4 linked regions of the Arabidopsis thaliana genome follow. The protein of the gene in region 3 interacts with the protein of the main gene of each other region in a pairwise test. Each region holds a gene or a part of one and is shown on either strand. Other genes may lie near its edges. The genes, in order: NF-YC4, TCP3, ZIM and FASS.

The links.
Region 1: the proteins of ZIM (region 3) and NF-YC4 interact in binary tests that used the Arabidopsis thaliana proteins (3 or more experiments, as listed by UniProt).
Region 2: the proteins of ZIM (region 3) and TCP3 interact in binary tests that used the Arabidopsis thaliana proteins (3 or more experiments, as listed by UniProt).
Region 4: the proteins of ZIM (region 3) and FASS interact in binary tests that used the Arabidopsis thaliana proteins (3 or more experiments, as listed by UniProt).

What each region holds. Positions count from the first base shown.
Region 1 is NC_003076.8:25,411,746-25,418,887, reverse strand, and holds NF-YC4 (nuclear factor Y, subunit C4), read left to right. Parts: upstream 1-1,688; 5' UTR 1,689-1,803; coding exon 1,804-2,552; coding exon of another isoform or gene 2,553-2,556; exon of another isoform or gene 2,557-2,847; coding exon 2,848-2,851; 3' UTR 2,852-3,288; downstream 3,289-7,142. Other genes in the region: AT5G63490 (CBS / octicosapeptide/Phox/Bemp1 (PB1) domains-containing protein), read left to right, coding at 1-172; AT5G63480 (mediator of RNA polymerase II transcription subunit), read right to left, coding at 415-513, 847-939, 1,194-1,571; AT5G63460 (SAP domain-containing protein), read left to right, coding at 3,489-3,602, 4,269-4,314, 4,440-4,475, 4,562-4,685, 4,811-4,875, 4,965-5,068, 5,248-5,283. UniProt on the Arabidopsis thaliana protein: Stimulates the transcription of various genes by recognizing and binding to a CCAAT motif in promoters. Involved in the abscisic acid (ABA) signaling pathway.
Region 2 is NC_003070.9:19,846,741-19,854,504, forward strand, and holds TCP3 (TEOSINTE BRANCHED 1, cycloidea and PCF transcription factor 3), read right to left. Parts: upstream 4,986-7,764; 5' UTR 4,696-4,985; coding exon 3,520-4,695; 3' UTR 3,462-3,519; exon of another isoform or gene 3,461-3,461; intron 3,368-3,460; 3' UTR 3,048-3,367; downstream 1-3,047. Other genes in the region: AT1G53210 (sodium/calcium exchanger family protein / calcium-binding EF hand family protein), read left to right, coding at 1-43, 142-456, 545-793. UniProt on the Arabidopsis thaliana protein: Plays a pivotal role in the control of morphogenesis of shoot organs by negatively regulating the expression of boundary-specific genes such as CUC genes, probably through the induction of miRNA (e.g. miR164). Participates in ovule development.
Region 3 is NC_003075.7:12,641,727-12,649,836, forward strand, and holds ZIM (GATA-type zinc finger protein with TIFY domain-containing protein), read left to right. Parts: upstream 1-3,837; 5' UTR 3,838-4,058; coding exon 4,059-4,364; intron 4,365-4,520; coding exon 4,521-4,610; intron 4,611-4,694; coding exon 4,695-4,828; intron 4,829-5,298; coding exon 5,299-5,406; intron 5,407-5,515; coding exon 5,516-5,621; intron 5,622-5,738; coding exon 5,739-5,822; intron 5,823-5,882; coding exon 5,883-6,008; 3' UTR 6,009-6,138; downstream 6,139-8,110. Other genes in the region: PWD (phosphoglucan, water dikinase), read left to right, coding at 1-6, 83-256, 337-429, 510-625, 701-905; CLT2 (CRT (chloroquine-resistance transporter)-like transporter 2), read left to right, coding at 1,162-1,559, 1,645-1,790, 1,868-1,905, 1,985-2,100, 2,425-2,524, 2,617-2,652, 2,740-2,790, 2,996-3,119 and 2 more. UniProt on the Arabidopsis thaliana protein: Transcriptional activator that specifically binds 5'-GATA-3' or 5'-GAT-3' motifs within gene promoters.
Region 4 is NC_003076.8:6,171,582-6,180,445, forward strand, and holds FASS (tonneau 2 (TON2)), read left to right. Parts: upstream 1-3,390; 5' UTR 3,391-3,572; coding exon 3,573-3,714; intron 3,715-3,966; coding exon 3,967-4,058; intron 4,059-4,213; coding exon 4,214-4,276; intron 4,277-4,353; coding exon 4,354-4,452; intron 4,453-4,537; coding exon 4,538-4,696; intron 4,697-4,928; coding exon 4,929-5,000; intron 5,001-5,143; coding exon 5,144-5,276; intron 5,277-5,370; coding exon 5,371-5,435; intron 5,436-5,546; coding exon 5,547-5,622; intron 5,623-5,732; coding exon 5,733-5,834; intron 5,835-5,919; coding exon 5,920-6,112; intron 6,113-6,122; exon of another isoform or gene 6,123-6,386; coding exon 6,387-6,633; 3' UTR 6,634-6,820; downstream 6,821-8,864. Other genes in the region: EMB269 (GTP1/OBG family protein), read right to left, coding at 258-356, 465-573, 660-825, 912-1,203, 1,294-1,567, 2,137-3,242; AT5G18590 (Galactose oxidase/kelch repeat superfamily protein), read right to left, coding at 6,935-7,015, 7,100-7,159, 7,245-7,748, 7,830-8,201, 8,284-8,367, 8,473-8,561, 8,628-8,742, 8,822-8,864. UniProt on the Arabidopsis thaliana protein: Probable regulatory subunit of type 2A protein phosphatase involved in the control of the dynamic organization of the cortical cytoskeleton.

The sequences.
Region 1 (7,142 bases), on a different chromosome or scaffold from region 3:
TGATTCAAGAGAAGGCAAAGGAAGAAGAAGGAGAAGAGCATCAGGATCAGCAGAATCAATGGAGTATGTAGAGACAGACGCTTGGGCTGCTGCTTATAGTGGAGTTGCGGCTGGTGCAGCATTAGTAGCTGGTCTTGGTTTTATGGCTTTTCTCAGAAAATTCGGTCATTGATTCCTCAGAAACACTACAAGAAGTGTTTCTTTAACAGATCAATACAAACAAAAAAGAAAAACAGACACAGGGTTTGAAGGTTTTGTCTGAAATATTTTTATATACAAAAGTCATTTTTGATTATTTTTTTGGCTTCATGATATCAAAATAACAAATATCTAAAACTAATACATGGAGTAATTCAAGAACAAGGCTTAGAATCTTTGTCTAAACTGATCTCACTATTGTCAAAAAAATAAAACTCAAACAGAACAAGGGCTTTGCCATGTAGAGATATCTGCTATAAGTTCCCGAAGTTTATCTATAAGTTCTTTAACATGAACATTCTTCTTTGCAATCTCCTGCATGAACAAAAGCTTCCGTTTATTAATGCCAACAGAGAAGAACAATATAATCACTTCCCATAAGGTTATTAACATAGAAATCAAAATGACCAGATGGCTGAAATGTATTCAAAAAATTATCAACATTTCCATGGTTCTAGAACCGCTTAAGCTATAATGATACAAACACTTACACTAGACAGTGGGAAAGAACACTTTATACAAGAAAATATGAATCAAATTCAATGCTATGTGAGTTGAAATGTACAGAGAATTCGAGACTGAATAGTGTATCAATGTAGTAACATCAGATTGAAAACAAAGAGATGTAGAAATTGCAGAAAGCTTTACCATTCTGAGACTTAAGGCTTGCTCCTCCAATTTTTCGATCTCGTCTTCACTTTCAGGAGATCCTAAACCATTTTGCATTTCAGATGCTTTTGCCTGTAATAGATGAACAAATTCAAATTTATGAAACCTCAAAAAAGCTCTCATTTAAAATTAAGCAAGTTCACTACAAGTGAAGAACAAGACACTCAACAAGCATTAGATCCTTCATCTAAACTCTCTATCGATTCGAAGATTTCCTAATCTAAGATCTCAAAACACCCTAGGAATTCAAAATTTCCTCAGTCCAGAAACAACTCAGAACAAAACACTTCTCGAAATAGTTAGTAACATCACATTATGTTCAATACCTTCTGCGAATTTGGAATCGCAGCAAGAACAGCACGAAGCGAAGTCACTGAGTTCTTATACCGAAGACTCGCCTCATCCAAAACACTATTTCCACTTCCTCCGCCCCCGCCACCACCAGCAGATTCCGAATGATGCGATGTTCCATCAATCGCAGCCGCATCGGCGGAAACGAGAGCCGAACCATTAGAACCCGTCGTCGTCGCGGCGGAACTCGGGGTAGCTGAAGTAGACCACAAAGACGGATTACAAAGCTCATCATTCATGGCTGAAATTATCTGAAACGCCGCTTCAATAGTTTCTTCCAATTGCTTCTCTCCTTCCATCGCTAGCTCCTGTGTCGTCATCGTCGTCGTCGTCGAGACCTGTTTCTGCAGCATCACCGTGAACACACTTTATCACGGCGTCGGTTGACTAAACTATTAATACGATGTCGTTTTAATCAAACTATATAATATATATATCAATAATATAGTTTTTATAGATAAATAAAAATAGAAAGAAATCAGCTACATCGCTGTCTACCTTATCCACTATTACTCCAATCCATATGACAAAAACTATCTAAAACGTTAGTTTGATCTTTTGATCCAATCACAAGGCAAAGATCCAATGGACAATAACAACAACAACAACAACCAGCAACCACCACCAACCTCCGTCTATCCACCTGGCTCCGCCGTCACAACCGTAATCCCTCCTCCACCATCTGGATCTGCATCAATAGTCACCGGAGGAGGAGCGACATACCACCACCTCCTCCAGCAACAACAGCAACAGCTTCAAATGTTCTGGACATACCAGAGACAAGAGATCGAACAGGTAAACGATTTCAAAAACCATCAGCTCCCTCTAGCTCGTATCAAAAAAATCATGAAAGCTGATGAAGATGTGCGTATGATCTCCGCCGAAGCACCGATTCTCTTCGCGAAAGCTTGTGAGCTTTTCATTCTCGAACTTACGATTAGATCTTGGCTTCACGCTGAAGAGAACAAACGTCGTACGCTTCAGAAAAACGATATCGCTGCTGCGATTACTAGAACCGATATCTTCGATTTCCTTGTTGATATTGTTCCTAGGGAAGAGATCAAGGAAGAGGAAGATGCAGCATCGGCTCTTGGTGGAGGAGGTATGGTTGCTCCCGCCGCGAGCGGTGTTCCTTATTATTATCCACCGATGGGACAACCGGCGGTTCCTGGAGGGATGATGATTGGAAGACCGGCGATGGATCCTAGCGGTGTTTATGCTCAGCCTCCTTCTCAGGCATGGCAAAGCGTTTGGCAGAATTCAGCTGGTGGTGGTGATGATGTGTCTTATGGAAGTGGAGGAAGTAGCGGCCATGGTAATCTCGATAGCCAAGGGTAAGTGAATTCTAGTAATATTCAGCAATGTAGCTTGTTGCAATTGATTATCTATGGTTATTGAGATTCTTCATGAGCTTGCTTTGATTAGTCTTAGAGGAATTTGCTGCTCTGTGTCATCTTCATTGATTCTCATCAAATAAGCTAAAAATTGATAATATCAAAGAAGCTCAATTTACAGTATCATCTGGCTCATTTCTTTAGATTCATAAACAAAACTTTGTAAAATACACAATTTTGATATCCATTATTTGATTTGACTCACACCTTTGATTATTTGTACAATGTTGTGCAGTTGAGCTATGGAACCAGAAGCTTAGAGATTTAATCATCATTTCGACCCTGCAAGTGTCTGATTCTTATATGTCTATGATTCGAATGACTTACTCGAGAGAGAGAGAGAGATCAAACAAAACAAAACAAAAAAGCTCTTTTTCATTTTTCCTGTTAACTTATAAGTTATTGCAGCAAAACTGCAGACTTGCTTAACTATATATTAATCTAAATGTGCAGATTCTAATCTATGCTTTGTATTTTTGTTGATTCTTGCTCCTAATCTAGTAATGATCAGAGCTTATGTATGGCATATTGAGTTTGTATTTCATGGCTTGTAGTAGCTTTGAGTTCTCTGTCTCTTATAATAACTTCTTACTTAATCATCTTAAGGCCTGATAAGGCCTATATATTAGCTTTGAATAGACCACGTTTTAACATGTATATATAAATTATATTAAGGCCCATATATTAACTTCTTACTTAATCATCTTAAGGCCTAATAAGGCCCATATCTTTCTCCAATAGACGCAATCGGACGGTGACCATCTCTGTGCCGCTTTGTTCCTAAACGATTTTCTGTCTGTTCTCTCTTTGCTCTCTCGCCCTCTCTTGCTCTTCTGGGTTCGTCTTCCTCGGCTAGGGTTTATCAGTGGTTTGTCAATGGAGGCTTCATCATCTCAACCATCCGATTCTTCTGATCAAACTGCTTCCAAGTTCCTTTCTGACCTCCCGTCTCGAGGTTTCTTGTCTTCTACCGTCGTCTCTTCCAATCCGGTAACTTTTCTAACCCATTCCCGCCTTTTTTGTTTTCTAAGGTCTATTATGGATTCCGAATTTTGAAATTTTGGGTTTTTCAAAGTGATTAGCTTTTTGTATGCGTCTTCAATTCTTCAAAGTGATCTTGATTGTAGTTCCAGATCGTTGAAATTTGGGTAGAATTAAATCAGAGAAAATCTTGTCTGAATTGTAATTTTGATTTTAGGTTTAGGTTCCACACTTTGTGCCTATAGGCTCAAAGTTTCTGCTTTTTACTTTGAATTTTACCATTTACTATAAATGCTTGAAGCTTTGAGATTTGTGATCAAATTGTGTAATGATAATTACAAGAGTTCACTTATAATATACTGCTTCAGTTCATGACAATTGATCTTGTTAATTACTTTAGTAACGTTGGCAAGCGACTGCTTTGAATCCATGTGTTGCTGTCAAAAGCTGGATTTAGTAATGCGTAGCTCTTATTTCCAATCATATTGGAGTTTTATTACAATTTATTTTCTTATAAGATCATTCAGTTCTAGTTTTCCTGTGAATGTGGCAGACTGGCAGGATCTCAGAGTGTTTCTTTCCTTTTGAAGTTGTTTCATCTATCTGTGTAGTAATAGCTTCTTTGTTAAAGCTTAATCATACATTTTAGTAACTTTCTTTTGTGTAAGATTTCAGGGAAGCTTGCGGGTCTACATTTGTGAGCATGACACATCTCCCCCAGGTAATTCTTTTCTTTTTTCGTTTTGTTCCACGAGTTGTTTTCTTAGAGACAGTTTCTTGTAGCAATCTCATAAAACAATTCCTTTTCATTTTCTCTCTGGGTGAGAATTGGCTACACTGGAAAAGTAATTGGGAGTCTCAGGATTATCAGTTTCAGAATAAGCTGCGTTTCAGTAATAAGTCTTTGTTTCCTGTAGAATTTTGTCTTACTAACAACTCCTAACTTATTTTGTTTGTCATATATCCAGAAGGACAGCTTATCAAAACAAACCAGCAAAATATACTAATCAGATCTCTCTTGTTAAAGAAGCAAAAAGGCGAATCTAGTTCTAAAGACTCAAAAGGAACTGCTGAAGATGGTCCTAAAAAGAGGTAACTACGACACGTGATTAGTTCTTTCCTCCCTTGCGTGACTAATCTTACTGACTGAAAATCACTAATCTTTCTTATTGCCTACATAAATGGTGTGTTCATCTATTACTTTTTCTTATTCGTAGGGCTGCAAATAGAGCTCTGGACGACAGAAGCTCAGCTAAAAGAGCTGCTAATGCATCTAGACAAGGTTATCTCTTTATACCTTTAATTCTATTTGATTTAATTTTCAAGATCGTATGTCACTTGGACTTTAAACAATGAATTTCTTCTGCACAGAAGGATCAAGCAGTCGCACAGGCGAAAGAGACTTTCAGTCTTTGACCGTTGAGAAGCTCCGCGCCATGCTCAAGGAGAAGGGCCTTCCAACAAAAGGAAGAAAGGCAAGTCACAATATATGCTACTGTTCTTTTTGAAAACTCTGTTAAAATTGTTTACAGCTTCTCAGTCTTGTACTCTCAATAGTATCTTAAAGAATCTGTCGTATGGGGTTGCTTCCAGTTCTTTGTTTATCGTGGCTCTTGTTCCACTGATTGATTATGGAACTTGACTGGTTTTGCAGGATGAGCTCATTGCGCGTCTGAAGAGTGCCAACTGAAATGAAGTTGAGAAGGGTGCTCTGGTGAATATATGTATCTTTAGAGGTTTCCCAAATAGGAGAGAATTGTTGTTGTTCTTGATCAAATACAAATCCTTTTGATCTCATCTGGAGAATTTGTTATCAGGAATTAGGCTACTTTAGTTTATGAATCCGGTTTGGTGACATTTGTAATATGGATTTCATCTTTTGATAAAGCAAACCAAACCAAACCAGGCGGTCTTGGTTAATTAAAAATGTGATGGAATTGCTTTGGGGCTGGCTATATTAAGTACAACACTATGGTCAATAGTTTAAAATCAAAGAAGAATTATAAGGCAAAACAACATTTGACCCGCAAGTGAGACATGCAAATTTTCAATTCCTGTTCACCTACCAAAAAGTGAAACCAAAATCCTTTTGTGGCGGATTTGATGAAAAAATTACAAACACAACCGTTGTATATTTTTGGTTATTAGGAGATAAAACGAAAAAAGAAAATAAATGGGGCTAAAATTTTAGTTTTATGGATTAGACTTTAGTATTTAACCGTGAAAAGCTAGTGTTGAATTTCTAAATTATTTATTAATTTTTTAAAAAAATTGAAATAATTTCTTATTCTTGATAGTAAAATGATGTCTATTTGATATAGTACCTCTCTTTTCTCCCTTTCAAAAATGAAAACAAAAGCATCATAAAAATTAGTGCGAGTCAAAACCACGAGTCTCTTGGACGGTGAAAATGAAGTTGTGAGAACGAAAAATGAAAGAGAAAGTACTTTCAAAGAAGGGCAATTCTTCTCTTTCTTTCTTTTTTTGTAGATGTCGTTATGACAAATAATTGTGTGTCAAATCAAAGCAAAGAATGGGACACTTGTGGACATTTTCTAATAAATAAGTAGAAACTCGTTGCGATGCTTTTGGTTCAGAGCTCTTGTACTTAATGGAGCCAGTTCTCCGAACGGCGCCGTTTTCTGGTCACAACGTGACAGGCTCACACCAATCTTACATATTTTCACCATATTTTGCATATGAACTAATTAATTAACCATTGGTTTTCGTTTTTTCACTCCGCATATCATCAATTATTAACGCCGGACTACAAAAGAAATGTATGCATCATTTTGTTTATTTTATAATCAATATACATAAACCACTATACCTTTCTCGTCTATTTTAATGAAATGAGTTAGTTAAAAAAGATTACTAGATAGATATTTTTTTAATGAGTAGGCAAATAAATATGAAATATCTAAAACGAAATAAAGTATAGATGAGACAAAGAGGTAAGATTGTATTATTTTTTAAAATGTGGATGATTTTCAGCCAACACGAGCTTAAAAATAAGTCAATGGAACTAGTTCCGACTTTTTTGCTCTATGAAAGAAACTCGATTTTCAAACCACGTGAACCACGTGCACGAAAACTGATAAAGATCCACTGAACTAGTAGTCACAAAAAGTGTATTTTTATTTGTTGTTCTACATACATAACGTTAATAATAATCGTGCATTCAATTGTTTCAAATTTCGGCTGAAGAATTTTATCAACGTGTTCGATCTTATCCGACACATGTCTGGTATTGGCGGATTCTCCAACCAATACTTTGTCGTCCTCATGTAATGAATTATTCGTCTGCACGCAAAGAAATTACACTTATTTAATTTAGAACTGTGATTAAATTAATATTAGAACAAACATATATGCTAGTGAGATACAGTAATCTTGATTTCAATAGTTCACTAACTTATCGACACTAGATATAGCAACAAAAATGTTGGTAGCTCAACCGATTGTAAGGATATTGTTCTAGTTGTAATCCAAATTTAAATATTGTTTAGAAAGATACACAGATTAAAAACAAATCAAATTTTATGTCCG
Region 2 (7,764 bases), on a different chromosome or scaffold from region 3:
AGCTGGCCCTCGAACAATGAAATTCCTTGACAATTTCCATGTGGTTAGAAAGACTGTTGAAACCTTATTTGAACAGACTTGGGTCACAAAACTTATCTGGAATCTAACGCAATTAGTTTTATCCTTTTTCTTGTTTTGCAGCAAACAAAGAGAGAGCATGCTTTGTTGGGAGATAACGAGAATGGTGAGAATGATGAGGAAGGCGGTGAGGTTGCAGACCCAAAATGGATCACCATTAAAGCAGCTCTGCTGCTACTGTTAGGAGCTGCCATTGCAGCTGCATTTGCTGATCCTTTAGTCGACACTGTTAACAACTTCTCCGCAGCCACAGGGATTCCGTCTTTCTTCATTTCCTTCATCGCTTTGCCTTTGGCCACCAATTCAAGTGAAGCCGTGTCTGCCATCATCTTCGCATCCCGCAAAAAGATCAGAACCGCCTCTTTAACTTTCTCCGAGGTCCATCCATATTCACAAGTCTTATATCTTTCTGTCCCATTATATTTCCTATACTAAAACCCGTTTCTTGGTGTTTGTTTGTTTTCAGCTATGTGGTGGAGTGACAATGAACAACATTCTGTGTCTCTCGGTGTTCTTAGCAATCGTCTACGTTCGAGGACTGACATGGAACTTCTCATCAGAAGTGTTGGTGATTCTCATCGTTTGTCTGGTGATGGGCGGTTTCGCGAGTTTCCGCACAACTTATCCTCTTTGGACATGTTTCATAGCTTACTTGCTTTACCCATTCTCCTTGGGTCTGGTCTATATTCTTGATTACTGGTTTGGCTGGTCGTAGATATCACTCTCTGTTCAAAGAGTTTGTTCTAATGAGTGAGTGTCTTCGCGCGTGGTTTCGTTTCTTCTCTACATATATATATATATATGGATTCTCGAGTGTAAAAACTTAAATTCTGAGATTTGTGTATTGGAAACAGAGTCTTATTGAAGCTAATACAGTAATATCTTTCTTGTTTCTTCTGTCTATTTAGTCTTCTCCTACATCTTTATTTTTGCTTGCTCTTTTATAGTTTTACTTATGGATGTTCTTTGTATTGAACCAAAAAAGTTACTTGTAAGTTGTAATCATCATATTTAGAGATTGAAATTTATTAATTTTTCGGGGAAAAAAAAATGATCGAACCAACTTATGACACTTACTTAGCAAGTAATGCCAATTGTACCATAAGCCGATGAATAATTGATTCATTATGTACTAACGTAGAATGTTATCGTCAGGTCCCGTAGCTCAGTTGGTTAGAGCGTTGGTCTTATGAGCCGAAGGTCGCGGGTTCGAGCCCCGCCGGGACCAAAACTTGAGTCTTTATTATTTTCGATAGAATTCTTATTTACAAACATTTTTAGACCCAAAAACTGTATATGAATCCGGAGAACCTTTTGAAAGACGAGCTCTAACTTCTTTTTTTTGGTTCGGTCCTTAACTCTTGATATCATCATTTTGTGTATGAAGCTAAACCAAATGTAAATCAGAAAATTCATGCCTGCCAGAATTTGATGGTGTTTGAAGGAACATAAACTTTTAGTGTCAATAAGGAAAATTGGATCAAATTTGGTTGGCTTCTTATCATTCAGTAAATGAAACCGGTTAACTCAAACAACATCAAACGTAGTAACCTCATTACTTAATAACCAAAAGAGCCGGTTTTAAAACTTTTTGTTGTAACCTCATCCTCTGAAGAGAGATGCAAACTAACAATAATGGTTTTAGACCACTATCCAACAATCAAGTTTTGAGCCATTTTGCGACTCTTTTCTTCTTTTTTTGGAAAATTATCATTGGCTATGGAATAGAATGAAGAAAAATCAAAGAAAAGTAAGACAGCTGTATGTAACCTTGAGATCTGACAAGAGATAGAAAGAAATAGAGAGAGGGGACCATTCTTTAAAGGTGACAACCTTTTTTCCCATTTTGGTTTCATCCTTTTCTTACACTTTGCTATCCTTTTTTATTATTATCATTCATGTCTTCTTCAACATTCCCTTTTTCTTCTGTCATGCCCCCAAAATCATAGAGGTTTCTTTTACCTCATTGATCTTTTCACATAACCAGATTCATCATGAGCTACATTTATTGTATGTACATCAATCATATACATTTGAACAAGAAGGTTACAAGGAAGGAACAAAAGAAGAAGAAAAGATAACAGAATTTTAAAATGTAGAATGGATATGATTCAGGCTGTCTTTTTCTTTTTTATGCTGCAATTTACTTTCGGATGTCTAGCCACTACTTCCAATCTCATCTTATCCCATCTCATGTAAAGTGTTGCTTCTTTATATAACTTCTCCATAAGAAACCAAAGTTTTCTTTCCGAAAGATATTATAGCCAAAAATCGACAAATTATGGACAAAAATTCATACCTTCACACTATTGATCTGAAAAGAAAGAGACTTGCTCTGCTTTCAACTTCCTTCATTTAGACCAACAAGAGTGTCTTCATCTACTAATCTAATGTCCTATTCTTTTTTACTTATTAAAGACTACATCACACTCAAGTTCGGTGGATCTCCTACACTCTTGTTTAAAGTAGACAGTTATTTGACACTAGACATCAAATTCTCTTTTGCTCCTTTTTCATAAAATCTTGAAATCTAGTATTGAGGAAGATTCTATGAAAAGAAGTCAAAAACCATTTCTCTGATATTTATATAGGGATCCGTGGATCATGGGCCAAAACTCTTACTAAGTATCAGAGCTTGCATCCACTAAACAAATTTTAAAAGAAACCCATAATTCTAAACTCTAAACTCCAAAAGAAGCAACACATGCAAACCCTGTCTATGGAAAGTGACTCTTCATCTATGGGGCCAAAAGAAGAGACTAAGAAACACAAGAGAAATGATTGTTTCAAATTCCATTTGCTAGTCAAAAGAAAGTTTATAACCACAGAGATTGGGAAGATAATACTTCTAATAAACGCTAAACCAAACAATATGATGATTGATGTAGATGGATAGAGCACTGTTCCTCTTTGGGATTGGCAAACAAAATGAGATATTTCTTGGGGAAAGCATTAAACCCACATGGAATAAAGGGCAAACAAAAGACTTTAGCTTCAAGTGGGGTTAAAGGTTTCCAACACAAGAACATAAATAAAGGACAAGTAATTGTAGAACAAGTTACAACAAACAAGATGTGAGCTCATGTAGCTAGAGCTAAACATTGTAAAACAGAATTGAACTTACAGAACGTTCTCTAATTGATACAAGATGAATTCAAATTAACCAAGGCCTAGGCTTTTAAAGACTTAAGAAGAACCTGAAACTGTTGATCAGATTTATAGGCCATTTGGATATTCGAAACACACAACAACGAAAACCGCCTTCACTATTCCACGCATTCGAAGCGCCCTGAAACGTTAAAAACAATGTAAGTTATCAATTTGATGAATGGTTAAAAGACAAGACTTTCACAAATGGGTGTTGTTTTCGAAAAACTTCAAACCTGGAATATGAAAAGAAACCTGTTGTGTTGCACAATCTTATGTGTTTTTGGAACTTGTTTAATGGCGAGAATCGGATGAAGCAGAGGACGGCTTGTTGTCGCCGCCGTGCTCCTCTTGTTCGCCTTGAAACCGTGCTGGTATACGAAAACCGGAGAATTCACCACTTGAAGCAAATGCAATGCCTGGAATAGCAGATTGGTGAATCCCGGGAGGGATATGGTAGGGATGATGATGGTGGAGATCGTCAGTGGTCATGGACTGCTGATGATGATGATGATGATGGTGAGGATCAAACCAAGCACGAATCATAGGTGTGTTAATGGACTGAAGGGGACCCCTCTGTGATAAAAGCTGACTTTGGCTATAAACTGGATGCAACGACGACGGAGAAGCAAACACAAATCCTCCGGTACTTCCGGCGGATTCAGCTGCTCCGACGTTGTTCCATGACACTAGTCTCTGTATCTTTCCAAATTCCGGTGACTGATGACTCTGTTCCCAGCTTGCCGTCGATGAGTCAAACGCTAACTGATTATTGCTCTGGCCGGAGAACAGAGCAGGTTCTGTTTGATTAGGAAAAGGTGGACCATTTTGGAAAGATTGAAGCGAGAGACGAAGAAGATCTTGGTTCTGTGTATTGCCTCGTGACGGTGGCTGATGATGATAGCTCTGTTGCGTTGAAGCTACCGGAAAAAACGACTTTATAGTGTCAGCTATCGAATCAGAATCCATTGACGCCGGAAGAAAACTCGATTCGTTATCTTCTTCTTCTCCGATTCGATGATGCTCTGTTTCTTCCGGTTGTGGCGGTGGCGGAGAAATTAAAGTTTTGGTTTTTCTGGGTTTAGCGTTAGCAGCAGCGGCGGCGTGTTGACGAAGAGTATCGGCGGGGTTCCAAGGAGGAAGCTGAGCAAGATCATCAATGGCGGATTTAGCTTTAGTAATAAGCCAATCAACAGCTTTACTTGGTCGATCAAAACCAAGTCTATCTTGAACATCGTAGAATTGAATCGCCGTCGGAGCTGAGAGTCTCACGCGCCGGTCACGTGGTCCTTTCGCTGTACATACTTTACTATGTCTGTCTTTTCTTCCTGTTGACCGAACAATGTGACCTCCTTGTACCTCCACAATCTCGCCGCAACCACCACCGTTCTCCGTCGCTGATTGGTGGTGTCTCATCTCTAGAAGAGGCGGCGACGGAGAATCTAAGAAATGGTCGTTATCTGGTGCCATTGATGAAGCATATTGTGGAAATTCAAGGTCGTTGATGGTGGTGGTGGTTGGATTATGACGGCGGCGGCGACGGCGGTCGTTAACCGCCGAGGAATCCAGAGTCGTTCGATTTATTTAATTCAACATTTTGCCTCTCCTCCAAATCCCAAACCCTAAACACGCCAACAAATCAAAGATGAAGAAGAAGAAGAAGAAGAAGACGTAATTGAATTTTGCAGACTAACCCATGACTAAATTTCTCTTCTTTTGTCTAAAGATTGTTTCTTTTTTAGAATTTGTCTCTGTTTCTGAGAATTCAAGAAGCAAAAACAGAGGAAGCAAGAAGAGAGAGAAGAGATAGAGAGATGTGGAATTGACTAAACGAGAATCCAGGAAAGCTCTTTTTAATTTTTTGTTTCTGGCCGGAAAATTTACAGTAACGGTAAAAAAAGGAAGAGATTTTGGGGTTTGGGGAAGAGAGGGAAATGGTAATGGAAGGAGTGTGTTTGGTCATAAAAAGAGCTCTCTGATACTCATCATCATCACTTGTGCTTTTATTTCATTTTTAAAGTGTTTTCTTATTTTATATTATATATTTTATGGTTTTTCTAAATGAAAAACAAAAAGCTTTTGTCCGATTCATCATGTGGAAATATTTTACATGACATTTCGAATTGTATTAGCTATATACATTACAATGGATATATTTTGGTAGAGGTTACTGTAAGAATATCAACACATATACATAGTCCTCTTAGGTTTGGTTCTGACTACCACTATTTTTTTTTGTTAAAGATGATAGAAACTATAAGCACTAATAAACCCAAATTTTACCAAGTCAAAGATTGTTCTGTACTGTGTTAGAAAATATTAATACAGAACTTTTGAGGTAGTAAAGGTTTTGGGTTGTTGGAAAAAAAGACAATACAAGAAGATTTCTTTTATAATAAAAACTAAAAAGTAAAGCTTTTAGATCTGTTGGAGAGTTGGAGACACTAATAATTGGGCGGTATAAACTAATATTGATGGTATTATTTTAAACAAATAAAGTATTATTTTCATCGAATCAAATTGTATTGGTTTTAGAGGTTACACCCTGTAAAATGCATCACCAGTATCCGTAGGATTCGACAGTATCCCTATAATCAACCATTGTCTATGCTCCTTTCCACTATCTGTTCTCGAACTCCACTGTTCGTCAATCCCACTTTTAATTAACCAAACGTAGTAAAGTTTCAGATGGAAAACGAAAATAATAGAGATACATACTTGTACATAGTTTTAGTTTAAAATTAACTTGAATTTCCTTTAAACAAAGATAAAAATGTGTATATATACGTAATTTGGTAACTCAATCAGTTTTTTTTTTCTTTTTTGTTAACAAGGAAATCCCGAGCATTTGACATACTAATACAAGTATGGTATGTGATTAAATATGAACATTTTAGGTGTGATTCATGTAGAGATTTCAAGAGAGATATAAGAAGAAATATGTGATTGTAGATAGGAGATTTATGTTTTTTGTAAGTGCGTTTCCTACTCATCGAGCCAATCTGCATTGAATCCATAATTTTTTCTTTTACCTTCCCAAGAGAAGAAATTATCAAAACATCGTTCTACGACATGCAACATCAAATTTAAAGGCACGAAATATCGCACGGTTCACTGGTTTAGGACACAATCAATTATTGTTTTCCATTTTTTTGTCATTACCACAAATTCTCTTTCTAACTACTTCTCCATTATACACACCGACCATGCATGTACTGTATTTTTAATTAAATACCCGTAGTCATACGAACTTTTCTGATATATAATGTATTTGGTACCATATTCTTGATCATCAAATAATGACAATGCACACATAAAAAGATGACGTATCGATATGTAAGGCAAAGATGGAATCAAATTTCAAATAAATGTTTCCCATTGCACCTACTCAACCAAGTGTAGTCTAAATAAATTTACGAATATACCCTATAGGCTTTTAGTGTTTTTCGATCGCATGTGTGTCAGTAAGTACACTCCCCATCACCCTCATAGTCATTTCCTCTTATCTCTCTCTCTTAAGTTATTTTCCCCAATATTTATTCCTTTCATTTATTTTTGTCAACTTGTTTTTCCGATAAAGAAATAAACACAATTTTTTCTGTCAATTTCCTAGTTTTATTTCGTTTATTTCCATTGTCTTATTTTTTTCCGTAATAAAAGAAATTAAAGCACTGTGAAAAGTTATAAATTCATTCTTCCATTCCCTTTCAAAATGATTAGTTTGTATTAAGTCATTTTCAGGGGAATTGTAGTAAAATATTTTATTTTTATTCGTCTTTATAATTTTACATAAACTGATTATTTGATTTGTTTACAAGAGTTAGATGGTCAAATAGTGTTTCCTCTAACATGAACAGTTTTAAAGGGCAATACACAAAAACACTAACGGTAATTGTTAGAGTTAATGAGTCTATTAGGGTCTTCTTGTATAAATCTAATACATTATACATGAGTACACAAAAGAAAGAATAAAGAATATATGGTACTAATCATATATCGAGGCATATTATTTGGTTTACGTGAAAAGGGATATAGAAAGGACGAATGTGGATCCAATAATCCGTTTTGCAATTTTAGTGAAAAAAATATAAGAAAGGAAGAATGTTGACACGGATGATAAATATGCATGTGCCATGTTAAAAAAAAAAAAAGTGAAAGGACGATGCTTTAATTCAGTTTTCTGGTACCCTTTTTGTCTAGAAATAAAATATTATTGTTACTTTTGTGTAACTACTGTAAAAGTAAATTGTAATAAAAGTCACAATAACCAAAAGAAGAAAAGAGAGGGCAAAAAAGAAGATGAAACTTGGGTTACCAAACTAGTTTTGGTTTTTGATGATTTGGGCTGAAAGTGTATAGACCTTTTCTCTAACCTTTTGAATGTAAGACGAAAGGGAGCCCATGGCATATCAACTACTCCGAACCAAAATATGTAAAATCGGTTTGGAGCGGTTAATGTTGGAAATCTCATATTTTTAACAAAAGTAAAAAACTAAACTATACTCGACAGCGAGAAAAGAAGTAAATAAACTCGTCTGA
Region 3 (8,110 bases):
AAGAAGGTAAGAATCTCTTTGAACGTTTGTGTACTTATAGTTAAAGGAACCAAGTGTTTCCCTGATCTCCACATCTGCATAGGTCTGGGCTTCAAAGTGGAACGAGAGAGCTTATGTCAGTTGCAAAAAAAATAAGCTTGATCATGATGCGGTCTGCATGGCTGTGCTGATTCAAGAAGTCATTTGTGGCGATTATGCTTTCGTCATTCACACAAACAATCCGGTCTCTGGTGACTCTTCAGAAATATACACAGAGGTTAAAGAACTATCTCCAGTTTCCACACTTTTGAGTAAATAATATCAATAACTCAGTTATCAAGAAACTGGCGTTCTCAGATTGTGAAGGGTTTGGGAGAGACCTTGGTTGGAGCATATCCAGGACGAGCAATGAGCTTCATCACCAAGAAAACAAACCTCAAGTCTCCAACCGTAAGAAACAAACAGATCCTAGTTGGCTCTTAAGTTGAGTTATATATTAACCGAGTGAGTGGGGAATTTGGGTTGTACAGGTGATCAGTTACCCAAGTAAGAGGATAGGTCTGTATTCTAAACCCTCAATCATATTCAGATCAGATTCAAACAACGAGGATCTCGAAGGCAACGCAGGCGCTGGACTTTACGACAGGTTTGTTTTGTGTGTTTCTCTCTGTTTCCGTCTTTTATTTCGGAACTCAGAAGCTGAAAGGGTTAAGTGCTGCAGTGTGATAATGGATGAAGCAGAGGAAGTAGTGGTGGATTACTCAAGGGAGCCACTAATAATGGACAAATCCTTTCGAGTGCGTCTATTCTCAGCGATTGCAGAAGCTGGAAATGTGATAGAGTCAATCTATGGTTGTCCTCAAGACATTGAAGGTGTTGTCAAAGGTGGACATATCTACATCGTCCAAGCTAGACCCCAAGTTTAAGCTCTCTTTTTCTACTTGTACCATTCCCTAAGTTTTCAATCAAATCTTATAATTACAAGCTAATCTTTTATATGTTTGCTATTACACATGTAATATTTCTACATCATGGCACACTCCTGATACAAACAAACATGATTCAAAGTTTCATAATAAATGATTGTGTGATAAAAATCCAAAACTCGTTTAAACGACATCGTATGAAGGGTCGCATAAGCGAAGAAGGATATAAAAACAGTCGCCGAGAAAGTCTCCCGCTATGGATACCGTTCTCATGGCTACAACACCACCAATCAGATGTCTTCATGCTTCAATTCCTACGGTGTTCCGTTCGCCGGCGATTTATCAGGTCAGCTGCCGGAGCTCCCAACTGTTTTCCTACCGTTCGACGACTATGATGAGCATGTGTTTTCTCAGACGGTCCGATTTGAGATCTCGCTTTCTTAGTACTCCGAAAACCACTTCTCCGATGAGACGACCTCGCTTTTCCGTCGGTGCTTCTACGGAGGAGTCTTCAATTCCTTCTAATCGGAACCTTATCGTGGCTAACTCCGTCGTAATCGTAGCTTTAGCTGTAGCTAATCGCGTGCTCTACAAACTCGCTTTGGTTCCCATGAAACAGTACCCTTTTTTCATGGCTCAGCTCACCACTTTCGGGTAACTTAAACAAGAGTGGCTATGAAAGAAATTGGGCAGTGAAGGAGCCTAGCTTAGATTATGATAAATGAATGGTTTTTGGCAGCTACGTCTTGATTTATTTCACCATTCTGTATACGAGGCGCCGTCTAGGCATTGTGACGAATGAAATGATGGATGTACCCAAATGGAGATTCGCAATCATTGGTTTTCTCGAAGCTCTTGGTGTTGCCACTGGCATGGCTGCAGCAGGTATCCCATTTATAGCATGATTGAAACTTTACATATTTATAAGGTTACATATGGAGTGATTCCACTCTCTGTTGCAGCAATGCTTCCTGGACCAGTTATACCCATTTTGAATCAGGTCTTTTGGTTTTATGATTATCTTCTTGCTCATTTGTTCTCATGGGGGTGTTGAACTCATGCCTCCCAATGTTTGGCAGACATATTTGGTGTGGCAGCTGCTTTTTGCTCTTCTTATTTTAGGCAGGAGGTTTTTGCTTAACCAAATTGCTGGTTGTCTCCTTGTGGCTGTGGGGGTTGTGGTGGCTGTTTCAAGGTATTCCTTCCTCCCTCTTCTCTTCTTCTAAAGTTACTTTTATCTTCTTGGATCTGGATGCTTGATCTTGGGGTAGAGAAATGTTTGTGTATCCGTGGTCATTTACAGATTATATCAAGAGAGTGCTTTCAGCTCTTACAATCTAGAAAACTAGTTTTCATGGACCAGAGTCACACCTATCAAATTCACCATGCTAAATGAATGGAGACGGCTCTACTTTAGTATTTATCATCCACATAGCAAATAGAAGGCCCTGATTCTAGAGAAGCTTGTGTGATAGTGATACTTTCATTTTTGTGAATGCTGACTGTAACTCATCTGCAGTGGATCTGGTGCAGATACTACGCTATCTGGAATCGGTTTCTTATGGCCTGCTGTATTGGTAGCATCCGCTGCTTTTCAAGCTGGTGCATCTATCATAAAGGTGAAGGTCGCTCTCTCTTATGAGTTGTGAACATTTCTATTTTATTTTCTTTTGCCAAGACCCAAGTTGTTAAGTGTTTTGTCTGTTAACAGGAATTTGTTTTCAATGATGCTGCAAAGCGTCTTGAGGTATCTCCCTTATCCCCTGCATCAAACAGGAATGCTTTTCTTTCGAAACTTTGCTGAATTAACTCTAAGATTAACTGGTGGATGCAGGGAAAGTCACTGGATATATTTGTGGTAAATTCATTTGGATCTGGATTTCAGGTATCTACTACTACAATATCATGTTGTAAATGTATTTGTTACAGCCAAAACAATTAGACATGCTTCTCCATTACATCAAGAGTACGTGAAGAAAACATTTGAAAGCTGCTTTCCTCTGTTATTCACTTATTATCTCTCTCCTACTTGAGAAGAGTTTTTGTTTTTTGGTTTAGTGTTACGGATCACTGAAGCTGTGCTTGTGCAGGCTCTTTTTGTGTTCCTGTTGTTGCCTTTTCTCTCAAACTTGAAAGGCATTCCATTCGCCAGCCTTCCTTCATATCTAAAAGATGGTGCCGGATGCTTCTTCAACACTGGAGCTAAGATTTCTGGTTAGAGACCATTCGACACTTGTTTTTTTTTCCTTCATTGAATTTTATTCACTGCTAAAACTTTGTGATTATCCATTTGAGAATTTCAGGCTGTGATGGTGCCCCTATACTCCCACTGCTCTATATATCCACCAATCTCGCTTTCAACATCTCATTGCTCCATCTGGTGAAAATATCTTCAGCAATCGTTTCCTCTCTTACCATGATGCTCTCAGGTCCATATTTCTATCCTTCCATGCAACGCCTCTTAAGTGTCACCAAATACTCAAACCCATATGAGATAATACTTTTGGTGTTGTTGTAGTGCCATTAGCGGTGTACATAATGTCAAAACCATTGCCGTATCTACCGGGAGGATCAAGCTTGAGCTCAAATTTTACGATGGGGTGTATAGTTCTTGTCCTAGGTCTTCTTCTCTACAACATTCCCACTACTCCAACTAAACAACACACCAAGACCTCCTAACACACTCACTCACCATTCATCCTTTTTGTGCATTACTTTTTTTTTTGTTGATAAACCAAATTCGTGTAATTTCCCAATTTTTTTTCCTTTGACCATCAAAGATACATAGAATATTCTCAGATATTTTTTTTACGTGAAAAACTAGCTTAAAGAAAAAAAAAAAAAAAAAAGAATAACAAGAAGAGAAATTTGTGATTGGTTAAAAATCCAGTAAAGTAGAGTCGTCGGGTCGTCTCGGAAGCAGTGCTGCGATTTTACCTAAAGTCACCTTTTTTTTTTACCGTCGGGTGAATTCGACGACGGTCCTAATCTCGCCTCCTCCACACGCGCCGATCACCATCTCTCTCTGTAATCGCTCTTCTCGATGTCAACTATTTCCTTCTTCCTTTGCTCTTAGGGTTAGGGTTTATTTTGTTCTTTCTCTATATCCTTCAATCAATGTGAAAAAAAAGCTCTCCCTTTTGGCAGTTTCCGATGTTTGGTCGCCATTCGATTATCCCAAATAACCAGATTGGTACCGCCTCTGCTTCCGCTGGTGAAGACCATGTCTCTGCCTCCGCTACGTCTGGTCACATTCCTTACGACGATATGGAAGAAATCCCTCATCCTGACTCTATCTATGGTGCTGCCTCCGATTTGATTCCCGATGGCTCTCAATTGGTTGCTCACCGATCCGATGGCTCTGAATTACTTGTTTCTCGGCCACCGGAAGGGGCGAATCAGCTTACGATCTCGTTCCGTGGACAAGTTTACGTTTTTGATGCCGTTGGTGCTGACAAGGTAATTCTACTCTGTCCCTCTTTTGTTATTTGTGTGAAGTCTCGATGGATGCATCTGAAACATAACATCTGATGGCTTAGGGCACGTAACGATTGCCTCTTTTGCACCTTTGTGCTTTTGCTAGTCTTAACCAAACTTTGGAAATTGATTTCGTAGGTGGATGCTGTGTTGTCGCTGTTGGGTGGTTCTACTGAGCTTGCTCCTGGTCCGCAGGTGATGGAACTAGCTCAACAGCAGAATCATATGGTAACTTTGTTATTTGTGTTCAAATTCTGCTTAAATTGTCACTTCATCTCGATTCCACCTTTTTCAGTTTGGTGTTATTTTTAGCCTGTTGTAGAATATCAGAGCCGCTGTAGCCTTCCGCAACGGGCACAATCCTTGGATAGGTTTCGGAAGAAGAGGAATGCTAGATGTTTCGAGAAGAAAGTAAGATACGGTGTTCGCCAAGAAGTTGCCTTAAGGTCAGTGTGTCAGTCTTGAGTTTTACCAATTTATGCCAAAAGCTGTTACTCTGAACAAAATTCTTTCACCTTTTCTGGGATAAAAATTTAGTATTCTTGTATAGCTAAACTAAAAATTTTCTACTCTTCTGGCTATGCTCTGGTTGCTTAACTACTTCCTCACTTTCGTGTGCTATGGATTGAAAGGAAATCTGTTCATATTCAACTAGTTTACTATCTAGCTAGTTTTCTTTTATTTGTTTCAAGAAGTTTGGTGACCATGTAGGTGTTTATGTAGAGTAGTAGGCTTCATTGTCCATGGCTTGCTGTAGTATTTGACAATATGGTTGTAGTTGAGCAGGATAGACATCTGAGTCTTTGTTAGTGTGATAAGTAGCTTTTACTGGAAATAATCGACATGTCTATTTCAATAATAAGGGATAGGATTTGTCACCTTCTCTGCCTCTCTGACCTTTGTTAGTGTTTATCAGAATGGCACGTAATAAAGGTCAATTCACCTCTTCAAAGATGACAGATGGGGCTTATAACTCTGGCACAGATCAAGATTCTGCCCAAGATGATGCCCATCCAGAAATATCGTGAGTTCTTTCTCTTCTCTGCCAATTAACTGTTCCTGCAATTTTTGTTTTCCACTAATGTGGGACATTTTGTTTGCACTTATTTTAAACGTGAGTGTGTCTTATGTAGGTGTACTCATTGCGGCATTAGTTCCAAATGTACACCAATGATGCGACGTGGCCCTTCCGGCCCCAGGACTCTCTGCAATGCCTGTGGACTTTTTTGGGCTAACAGGGTACGTATGAAAGACAAAGTGATGATAAAGACATATATAATATGTTCACTATGTTCAGTTCATAAGATACTGATATAGCCAAGAAGTTTGACATTTAGAATTGTTCAATTCTTGTAGGGTACATTGAGGGATCTCTCAAAGAAAACAGAAGAGAATCAGTTGGCTTTAATGAAACCGGTAAGCTCTTATAAATATCACCCTGTGTTTCTGGTTGGTTTATCCACATAAGGCGGAGCTTGAATCATCATCGCTTATTTGTAGGATGATGGTGGGAGTGTTGCTGATGCTGCTAACAACTTAAACACTGAAGCTGCAAGTGTTGAAGAACACACTTCCATGGTTTCTCTTGCCAATGGGGATAATTCTAATCTGTTAGGTGATCACTAAATACTGTGATAAGAATCAGAAGATAGAAATCTTTGTAGAATCAGATGGTCTTCTCTATGAATTTATCTTTTCACCATCACATGTATTATAGAAACCGTAACCGAACCTCAAATCAAATACCATATCAGATGTCTTTGGTTTCAGAGTTTGTTACTATGCTTGCAACCATACCCATTGACATGGTGTGGTTAAAAACGTTAAAGTCGATTCTGAGGGGAAAAAAGTTTACTTATTACGTTACATCCTCAAAAGATATGATCAGATTAAAAAGACTTATCAATGTCTCATACATAAATCAAATACTAATCTACTCAAAACTTGAAAGGTGATTTCTTCTTCTTTTTGGTTGTATTGACCAACTAACAACACTACGTATCAAAATATCCGAAAAGATTTTAAAAGTTTCATTGGAATGGGACAATGCATCTTAGATCTCAATCCTAGTTTACAAGATTAGTTTATTAGAGGATGTATGCATACGCATCATATACCAAAACCATGTGGATTACTAAATCGGGCTCAGGACCACTAAATAGATTAGATTATCTACAAATCACATTATTGTGTACATAACAAATAGAATACATTATATAAATCACACAAAAATGTATCGAAGAAAAGAGAACCGTCGAACCAGTTTGATGGTAATCAACTAAGATAATGTTTTTTTTTCTGATGTCAATAGTGTTTGTTTATGAAGGAATTTATGATGAGATTATTCGAGAAGGAGTCGCTTTAAGTGACCCGATCCTCGTGACGACTCGTTGCTCTTTCTTTCTTTATTATAGATTATAGTTGTTCAAACAAATGAAAAGTATCTGAGACGAATAAATTAATGGGTGGTCTGTTTCTGTACTATAAAGAGGTCCATGCATGTACCATATCATCTTATTATGTACTATTAAACAAATAGATTAATGATTATATAATGTTTTCCGATATATTGAAATTAGTTTATGAGTCACGAGTTAAATCTGAAGGCTTCACCAAACCTAAAGTTAAAAGTCTCAAAACAGTTAAACACTCTTGTGATATCATCCCTGTATATAATCTTTAATGAAAACGTAGAAAAAAAGATTATTTGCAACCAGAAAACATCTGAACAAATATCCATTTCTCGTGGTTTTATGTTAAAACATTTGTCGTGTTGGGAAATAATTGAAACTTTTATTTTCCAACATTGAATTTTTCTTTATGTTAAAAGTGATGTGAACTTTGTATAAAATGAAGGAAAATTTAAAAGCACTCCCCTATATGCGATGCGAGAAAAGGGAGAGAAGATATGTATGCACTTGTTTCTTGTCACGTTCCGTTTCCACAAAATCAGTAGATATGCCAGTAACTGTGTTATCTTCTTCTTTTCGTGCGTCTGTATCCAGGAGACATATAAATGATGCTGAATTTCCTAACTATTTTTAATTTATAAACATGAGAAGCGTTAAATGGGTAGCAGCAATCAAACGTTTGGTGCTTAAAAGCGCTTATTTGAAGTATAAACAATTTGATATTTATAAGATAAAACAGCATTACATATGAAATATCATGATTCATAACTATATATGCAAAATTTGAAAACTTCTAAATCCCAAAATTACACAAAGATTAACTAAACTACATTATAATTTATAAATAAATAAAAAGATTAGTATCAAAACTAAAACGTTAAGAAATATCATAAGTGATGATTAGACGACAGTCAAAATGTTAAATTTCATGATGAAAAAACAAAAAAAAAAGAGTAATTTGTCCAAATACAATCAGCTGACTATATATTTTGTCAAATCATATATCATATATACTAAAACTAAGAAAAAGATAACCATCAAACCAATTCAATTTATATCCACCTACATATGACTTTGATACATTTTTTGTGTAGTTTGATCAGTGATAAGATTTTCAATCCTCTATAGTAATAAAAATTGCTAATTTCGATAATTTAAGAGATAATTACAAAACCAACAAGCACCTAGACACCCCTAAGATCTAGGAGAATGCATCCTCCTTAGTCATCACTTCCTTATAAAGTAAAACTATAAAAACTGAGATCACGAGAGAAACCGAGAAAGAGAGCCAAGAAATGCATGAGTTAGGATGATAAT
Region 4 (8,864 bases), on a different chromosome or scaffold from region 3:
AAATTGTTAAAATATTAAATGCCAATGACATTGGATTGTAAATAAATCCTCAACTTGAGGATTTATTTCATAAAAGTGTTGCAAAAATGTATATATAGATAATTATAAATACGTCATCTCTACATTATAATAGTACATCTAAAAAAATTGATTCAATGATCTGCGACCGGTTCAATCCAATGACCGAAAAAGTAATCTGATTCACTTCCTTCGTCGGTTAAAGAAACAGTCTAACACCAAGAGAGACCTTAAATGGTTCATTTCCATTGAGGCCATCTGACTGAGTCTGTCGAAGTCTTGTTTGAATCTGTGGGACGGCTCGAGCCATTGGCTGAATCATGCCATATCAACTCCATCTATTCACACACACACACACACACACATTGTGAATGTTCATCAACAGACTAACAAAAGCATCAAGTACATGCTGAACAAACAAAAGGTTCAGAGAAACTCAAACAAACCTCTCCTACGATGACGGTATCGCCTTCTTTAACGCCCATATTCTTCAGTGATTTATTCACACCACAAGCATCAAGTACATGCTGAAACCTTTTGTCTGAATCCATGTACCTATCCAAACACAAATCACATCGACATTGGTTAGTGACACTTGATTAGTTAGATTGCATGAATTATGGCTGTAGTTCAACTCATACCTCCAGTTAGTCATCTGGACAAAACGTTGAAGCCCGGCTCCAACTACATGCCAAGCCCTAGTACCGCTATCGCGGAAGACCTCAAACTCATTAATGGCTGCTCGTCGTTCCTTATCAATCTTCTTAGCTACATGGTCCAGATTCTCATTTGCTTGATCGAACAATGCTATAGCAAATTTGAAAACAAACCCCATCAATACACTGCATAAGCGCGATATCATTCTATTATGCCAAAGTAAAAGTAAACCACACCTTTGGGTTCTGCATTGGCTGCTCTGTACTTCTTCAGGAGTTCATAAACGGACGAGATTACTTCATGTGTACCTTCTCTTTGTACTGCGCTCATACAAAAAGGTTCAATCCCACGGGCACGGAGAGTTTCTTGAAACATTGGCCACTTCTCGTAAGCATCTGGGAGGTCCATTTTGTTGTATGCCACTACGTAAGGCTTCTCGGCGATCTCAGGACTGAATAGTTCGAGTTCGAGACGAACAGCTTCAAACTCAAGTTCAGGTTGTGGAGCTGAACCATCCACAACATGTACCTTTAAACCACAAAAGAAAGGGTCTTCTTAGAAAAAAGCAAAAATGAAGTATAAAGATTTGAATCTAAATTCTAAAGACAGTTGTTTTACCAGTGCTGAACATCTCTCAGTGTGCCGAAGAAACTCATGGCCTAAACCGAAGCCTCTGTGCGCTCCTTCGAGCAAACCAGGAAGATCTGCGACCACCATTGTTGAATCGTAATCAAATGAAACCACACCTAGATTGGGAAGTAATGTGGTGAATGGGTAATTTGCTATGGTTGGCTGTGCGGCACTTATCACGCTCAACAATGTGCTTTTTCCTGCATTTGGAGCACCCACAATACCTACGTCTGCGACCAGTTTCAGTTCTAAGTCCAGCCACCTATAGGCATATGTAAAGTTATAATTGGGAATCAGAGCTTCCCAGAAAAAAAAAAATATATATATGAACCACATATTACATTTCCTAAAGGCAAACACAGTCTCATAATTCTCCAACAGCATGATAGTGTTGGACTCTAAGAGTACCCAATCCAGTCTATAGATAACCCAGAAACTCATATCCGTTCATAATACTCTAACATACCTCTATCAACATGAGCTTTTCTACTAGCAGAGTCAGCAATGGAAGACTTTCAAAAGTCCTGTACCTGTATCTATATATAAATTCTTGTATAGTGAGCATTACTTACAAGATGAGATTTCCTCTGGAGATTAACCGAGATACTAAACCTAACCCAGATGATCGAATGAAGGAAGCAGGGCTCACATGTAAACATCAAGCTTTACCAAACAAAAGAAATACAAATCAACTGTTCCTAAACCAAAATGAAATTTTTACATCTTTGAACAATCTAGCTTCTGTGATTAGTTTATCCTATCAAAGCTTGTAACCATCATCAACACACTAAACTAAAACCAGCTCAAAAATGAAGAAAAATACACACTTACATTTCAGGACCTTCTTCGCCATTCTCAGCAATCCTAGGAACTTTATTCATCCCCGACTTAAACGAAGCATTCCCTCGTCCACCTCTCCCTCCAGGCAACAACAACGCCCTCTGTCCCGGATGCAACAACTCCAAAAGCACCTCCTTCTCCTCCCCTTCCTCACCCTCCACCTCACTCCCAACCTCTCTAGCCTGTCTAACCACCGTCCCAGGAGCCACTTTCACCACGACATTATCACCTTTAGCTCCACTCTGCATCTTCCCTCTCCCATGTTCCCCACGTCCCGCCCTGAAATGCACACTCTTGCGAAATGGCAACAACGAATTCATAGACCCATCAACCTCTACATACACATTCCCTCCTCTCCCTCCATCTCCACCTGAAGGTCCTCCAAAAGGAACAAACTTTTCTCTCCTAAACGCCACCACACCATTCCCTCCATCTCCGGCTCTAACATATATCTTCGCTCTATCGAAACACCTCATCACAGCCGGAACTCCTTTCTCCTTCACCCCAATTTCATCCTCTTCCTCTTCACCGGAGAAACATAACACTTCTCCATCCTTCAATTCAGACCCTTCACTATCATCTTTCTCCGCATCAGTTTCATCACCATACTCAAACACTTCGTCTTCCCAATCTTCATCATCTTCATCAATTGATCTTGAACTCCCTTCAAACACATCTAATCTTCTGTAATTTCCCCAAATATCATCATCATCATAACTCTTCACCTCCTTTTCTTTCTCTTCTTCCTCAATTTCCCTCAAAGTTTCAATCTTTTCCTCAACCCTCGCGACATTGGACTCAGATAGCTTCACTTCTTCAGAAACTTTTAAATAAGATGAAGACAAAAGAGAGACATCATAGTAATCTTCCCTAGGAGGAAGACGTGTATAAGTAGTGGCTTCGCCGCCGGCATCAGAAACTGGCTGGAGTTTATCACCGCCTCGAGATTTAAGCTCGACTTCGCGTTGAAGCTTCGTTTTTCTAGGGCTTCGGGTTCTTCCCGAGACTTTGTCAGGTTTAGCGAAAATCTTCCTCGTCCTACTGGGTCGGGCTAGAGCTTGAGGAGTGAAGAAACAGTTAATGGATATGGAAGCCATTTGTTTCTCTGATAAATCTTAACGGGACTTTATGTGATATAAACAACATTTTGTACTAAATATTGATTTTTCAAAGTAAAGGGGGTTACAATCAAAAGTAGTATAAAATTGAGGACTTATATAGCAAACAAGGAGAAACTTTTATTACCTTTGAAGTTTGAAGCTTGGATCTCGCAGATTGAGCTCCAGAGAGGGAGAGAGAGAGAAAGGGGGCGCTTTAGGGTTTCTGCAGTTCCTGGTTCAGTCTCACCATTCTATTTAAGGGTTTTAATCTCTCTGCTTCATTTGGTGACTAACATTTATCGTCGAGGGTTGTGACGATCTCCGAGAATGTATAGCGGATCTAGCGATGGTGAGAGTCATGATACATCGACGCAGAGGAAGATCCCACCGGCGTCTTCGATGCTTTGGGTTAGAAATCTACGACGATATATTGGTTCCGGTGCCGGATTAGGATCCGAAGCTCTAATGGGTAATGTTCCTTTTGCCGGTTGTTGCGTTTTGGTTGTTGGGACAGTCTGTAGTTTTTTTATCTTTTAGCTTGTGATGATGTCATAAATTCTGTAAAGTTTGAATCTTTGATCACATTTTAGAGCTCGTTGTGTTTTCAATATGAGTAAAGTTCCTGAATTTACATGTCTATGTATTGAAAGACTATGTTTAACTGTGATAGAGTCTTTGGTTTTGCTTAGTTTGATAAGGGTTTGTGTTCATTGTTTTGTAGAGCTTGAGACGAAGAGAATCTTGCTCGAGATTTTTAAAGAGAAGCAACAGAAAAGCCAAGAAGCAGGCACAATACCGAGTTTCTACAAGAAGGCATGTCCCTTACTCTGTATAAAATGATTGCCTTTGCATTTCAAGGCACTACTCGGTTAAAATATTGCATTGTGTTATACACTTCATAGAAGTTGTTTTTCCTTTTAAGTATTCGTGTTAGGCAATAAAATTTTGTTCCTTTACTCTTGGTTCAGAAACCAGAAGAAGGATCTATTAGTCAAAGGGTCCAGAAGCTTGCAAAGTACCGTTTCTTGAAGGTATTTCGCCTGCTCTTAATTATTCAGAAGAAGTTTAATGTTTTTGCTCACTTCGATATGTTGATTAATTCCCACAGAAACAATCGGATCTTTTGTTAAACGCTGATGATTTGGCTGCTATGTGGGTTTGTTTGAGAGAAAATTGTGTGATTGATGATGCCACTGGTGCTGAAAAGGTACGTGCATCTTTTATAGGATTTTTCTCTGGAGCTGAAACTATGTTAACAATGATGCTGATATTGCGCTGTCTTTTTCATGTAGATGAACTATGAAGACTTCTGTCACATTGCCTCTGTATGCACTGAACAAATCGGTCCCAAATGTCGCCGGTTTTTTAGCCCATCCAATTTCATGAAATTTGAGAAGGATGAGGCTGGGAGGATTGCCATTTTACCGTTTTATCTTTATGTGATGCGCACGGTGAGTATCCTTATGTTTTTATAATGTCATGTCTTTGGGTATCATTTTTGTTCATTGGCTGAATATCATCTGTCGCCATAAGCTAAATATTCTTTGGTACTGTGTTTGAGTGACACCAGCTTTGCTAGTTTTGGATGTTTGTTTTTCAAGTTTTTTTAATTTGGCGTGTCTTTTACTTAAACAACTATAGTTAATACTTGTTTTGATTAATCATATGTTCAACACTATTCAGGTGTCGCTTACACAAGCTAGGATTGATATGAGTGAGCTTGACGAAGACTCTGATGGTTTCCTTCATTCTGATGTAAGTACTCAAGTGGCTCTAAAGCTTTAACTTTAGAATTGGCTCAAGATTCTTTAGGTAGTCGTCCTACCTGCAAATGTCAAATGGTGTTGACTTTTATGTCAAGTTCCTTACAGTTAGTCTACTTGCTGTTGTTATTATAGGAAATGGAGTCCTATATTGGTGGTCTAATCCCTAATCTGGCACAACTGAGAGACATGCCTCCGGCCTTTAATCAAATGTATTGCCGCATAGCTTCACAAAAGTTTTTCTTCTTCTGTGATCCCCATAGGCGAGGTAAGTGAAAGAAAATATTATTATTATTAGGCAATTAGAAATTTCTTTGACCCAGTATTCAATCGCTCGTAAATGTGATATTTTTTGCGTACAGGAAGAGCCTGCATTAAAAAGATACTGCTCAGTAACTGTCTGCAGGAACTAATGGAATTGCATCAGGTAAGTTTAGTTGAAGGATGTATGACATACAGCTTCGTCACCGTATAACTTTCCACTTTCATAAGCTACTTGCTTGTGTTTTCTGATTGTTCCTTGGTTACTCAACGTTAGGAAAGCGAGGAGGAAGTCACAGACACTGAACAGGCAGAAAATTGGTTCTCTTTGACTTCAGCCCAACGCATATGTGGTGGGTGTGCTATTTTGTCTTAATAGCTGCAGAGAACTGGAAACAACTCTCGTTATGTCATATTAAGAACTAAAATGGAGATTGATCTAGAGTTTCTCTTTCTTCTGTAGATATGTTCCTCGCACTTGATAAAGATATGAGTGGATCGCTGTGCAAACAAGAACTTAAAGAATATGCTGATGGGACCCTAACTGAGATTTTCATTGAAAGAGGTAAATTTAAGCCCTTTTGGTGATTGTAGGCTCGTGGTACTGATCGAGACACGCTTAGTATACTAATTCCCCTTTGTTTTTTTAGTGTTCGATGAGCATGTCCGCCGTGGTAAAATCGTGGCAGGCAATTCCCGGGAAATGGACTTTGACAGTTTCCTCGATTTTGTTCTTGCTTTGGAGAACAAAGATACTCCAGAGGGTTTGACGTATTTATTCCGTTGCCTTGATCTCCAAGGGAGAGGCTTTCTCACTACTGCTGATATTCACTCTCTTTTCAGGTAATGAATCTCTATGAAGCGACTGAATCTGTTTGGTTTCTTACTTTTTAGTAAATTTTGTTTGAAACATGGAAGTAAAGAAGGGGAGCATCAAAGAGTTGTGATGTTATCTGATACAATCTTCCTAAATAAACACTCTGCATTTCCTGCTTGCGGAAGCTGAGCTTTGTTCCGCGAGTCTCATATCTGCAAAGACACTAGTGCATATCAAACACACCATTGATGTGTGATAATGCCATTGTCTCTCTTCTGAATTCATCTGTTTAACTTGCAGAGATGTTCACCAGAAATGGATAGAAGGTGGGAACTATGAACTGTGCATAGAAGATGTTCGAGACGAGATCTGGGACATGGTGAAACCGTCTGACCCATTAAAGATCACTCTGGGTGATCTCTTGGGATGTAAACAAGGTGGAACCGTTGCGAGCATGCTTATAGATGTGCGTGGCTTCTGGGCTCATGACAACCGTGAGAACCTTCTTCAAGAAGAAGAAGAACCACCTGAGGAAGAGTCTCAGTGATAATGTTATTTTCTATGTCTACCTAAAAAAAATGCTAAATCATTGAGATCAAAAGTCTCGCACTAGTAAACAGTCTCATCTCATGTGTGTGTATCTTTGTAAGCTTATTAGTTGGTGACGTTTAATGAAATGGCTGTTTATATCGTCACTTGTCTTATTCTACTTGGGATCTGATTTGATTTTTGACATTTCTGAATTCACTTCTATTATACATTACTCCACAACACACATGAATTCAGTCATGTCTCGAGTACTACAAAATGGAAGTCATAAAAGTTATCGTGTTGTCTCTGGTCTGTGTTTAGACATGGAAAGGCTTTCTGGGTGTAGCAGCTCTGTTCTCTAGAGATTGTAATCTTTGCTTCAGATGAAACACTTCAACCTGCGTTCATCTCAAGTTTTTAGAACAATACTACATTTTGAAAATGCAAATTTGAATAGAGTCTATTGATGATTATGATGACACCTGCAACTGGAACGCTCTTGCTCTTTCTCCTGCAAGAACTCCTCTTGTTGAATGCAACTCCTACAAAACCCATAACACAAAACGGTATTAAACTTTAATCCTCAGTCTTTTGAAAACGCTTGTATATCTACTAGGATTATTTTACCTTTTGTGTATCGTCTAGGACAGCTTTGAGGAACGCTACATCATGCTCAAGCCTGACATTGTCGGAGTGAACCATGTTTGACAAACTATTAGCTTCCTCTTGAGCGAGCTCTAACCCGGTCAGCTTCTCCTTAAGCAATTCAACATCTCTCATGGCGTCAGATAACTTTTTATCAGTCTCTTGTTTGCTCCTCAACGCAACCGACACATTCCTCTCAGCCGCCTCTCTTCCCGCCAATGCTGCTTCTAACTGCCCTTCCAGAATCCCATTTCTTCTTATAAGAGCCGTCATTTTCGCTTCATGGAATTGGTACACGCTCGATGAGGACGCTGATCCTGCAAAGTTGATATTATCCATTTCTTGGAATATCAAGGCGCCATCAACGTTTTCTAAAGGATATGTTTCAGAGCATTGCTTCTGGAGACTTAAGATTTCACGGTCAGAAACCATAGAAAGTGTTTTCTCTGCTGTAATCTTTGCTCCTCCAGTATTGTCATCTGTGGTCTGAAACCAAGACAAGACGTTTTAAAAGCAAATTCAAGAACGTCAATAAATGCAGGTGAATCATGAACTAACTATATATACCGGAGGAGGCACGGAAATGTCTTCTTCTGAACACTTTGCGGGTTCAATCACCGCTCTGTATTCCTCTTCGGTGCTAAACTGTTTACGCAAAGAGACATTTCCAGAAGGTGGGTTACGATGATCACCGAAAGCAATCTCTGATAAAGACCTTCTACCAGAGCCACCATGCTCTTCAATGGCTGAAGCAAGTTTCTGTCTGGCAACTGAATCAATCAGCCTCTGTGAAGAGGCTTTAACCGATTCATCAGAGGTTAAAACTGCCGAGGAAGAAGATCTTTTTCCAAACAGTAACCGGCCGGGGTTTTTCTTGGAAGTTGTTTGCGGATGTGTTGGTGATTCACTCTTGTTCTTGTCAATGGTAAAAGCATCGACCTTTTCATAGTTCAGACATAGCATCAAAACACATACATAAATTGAGATCTTGAACAATACAGCGGAATGATAAGGCTCGAACCTGATTTGAAGGATCTTTTTTCGTTCCTCCAAAAGCTACAAGGAAATCTTTATCCTTGTGTTGCAGAAGAACTAGACTAAATCCCTATTTCAAACATACCACAAGACAATAACTGAGCTTTTAACAGATGGGGTTGAAAGAATATACAAGTTAGTTACATATAAGAATGTGATTTTTCTATTTATCCACCTTGTTGGATGTGACAGAAGATTGAGAGGAGATGCTTGCTACAGACCACTCGACCTTAAGGATATCGAAGACCAATGTTTCCGCATGTCCTGGAAAAGCAAAGCAAACTTGTAAGATCCAGGTAACATTTAGCGCAGTTTCGAAGTAGAACTTACTCTTCTTTCTGCTTCCTCCTCCGGTTATATACCATTTAGTACCGCAAAGAACTCCACAACTACCCGCTCTTGGTGATGGGTGAAATCCTCTTATCTTTATTCTTGACCATACCATCTTGATGACACCAAGAGATAAGAGATGTTCAATGTCAAGAAACCAAATAAATAAAAAACATTATAGCAATAAGTATTACCGTTTCAAAGTCGAGTGAGTATAAGTCATTTAGTGTTTTGTTC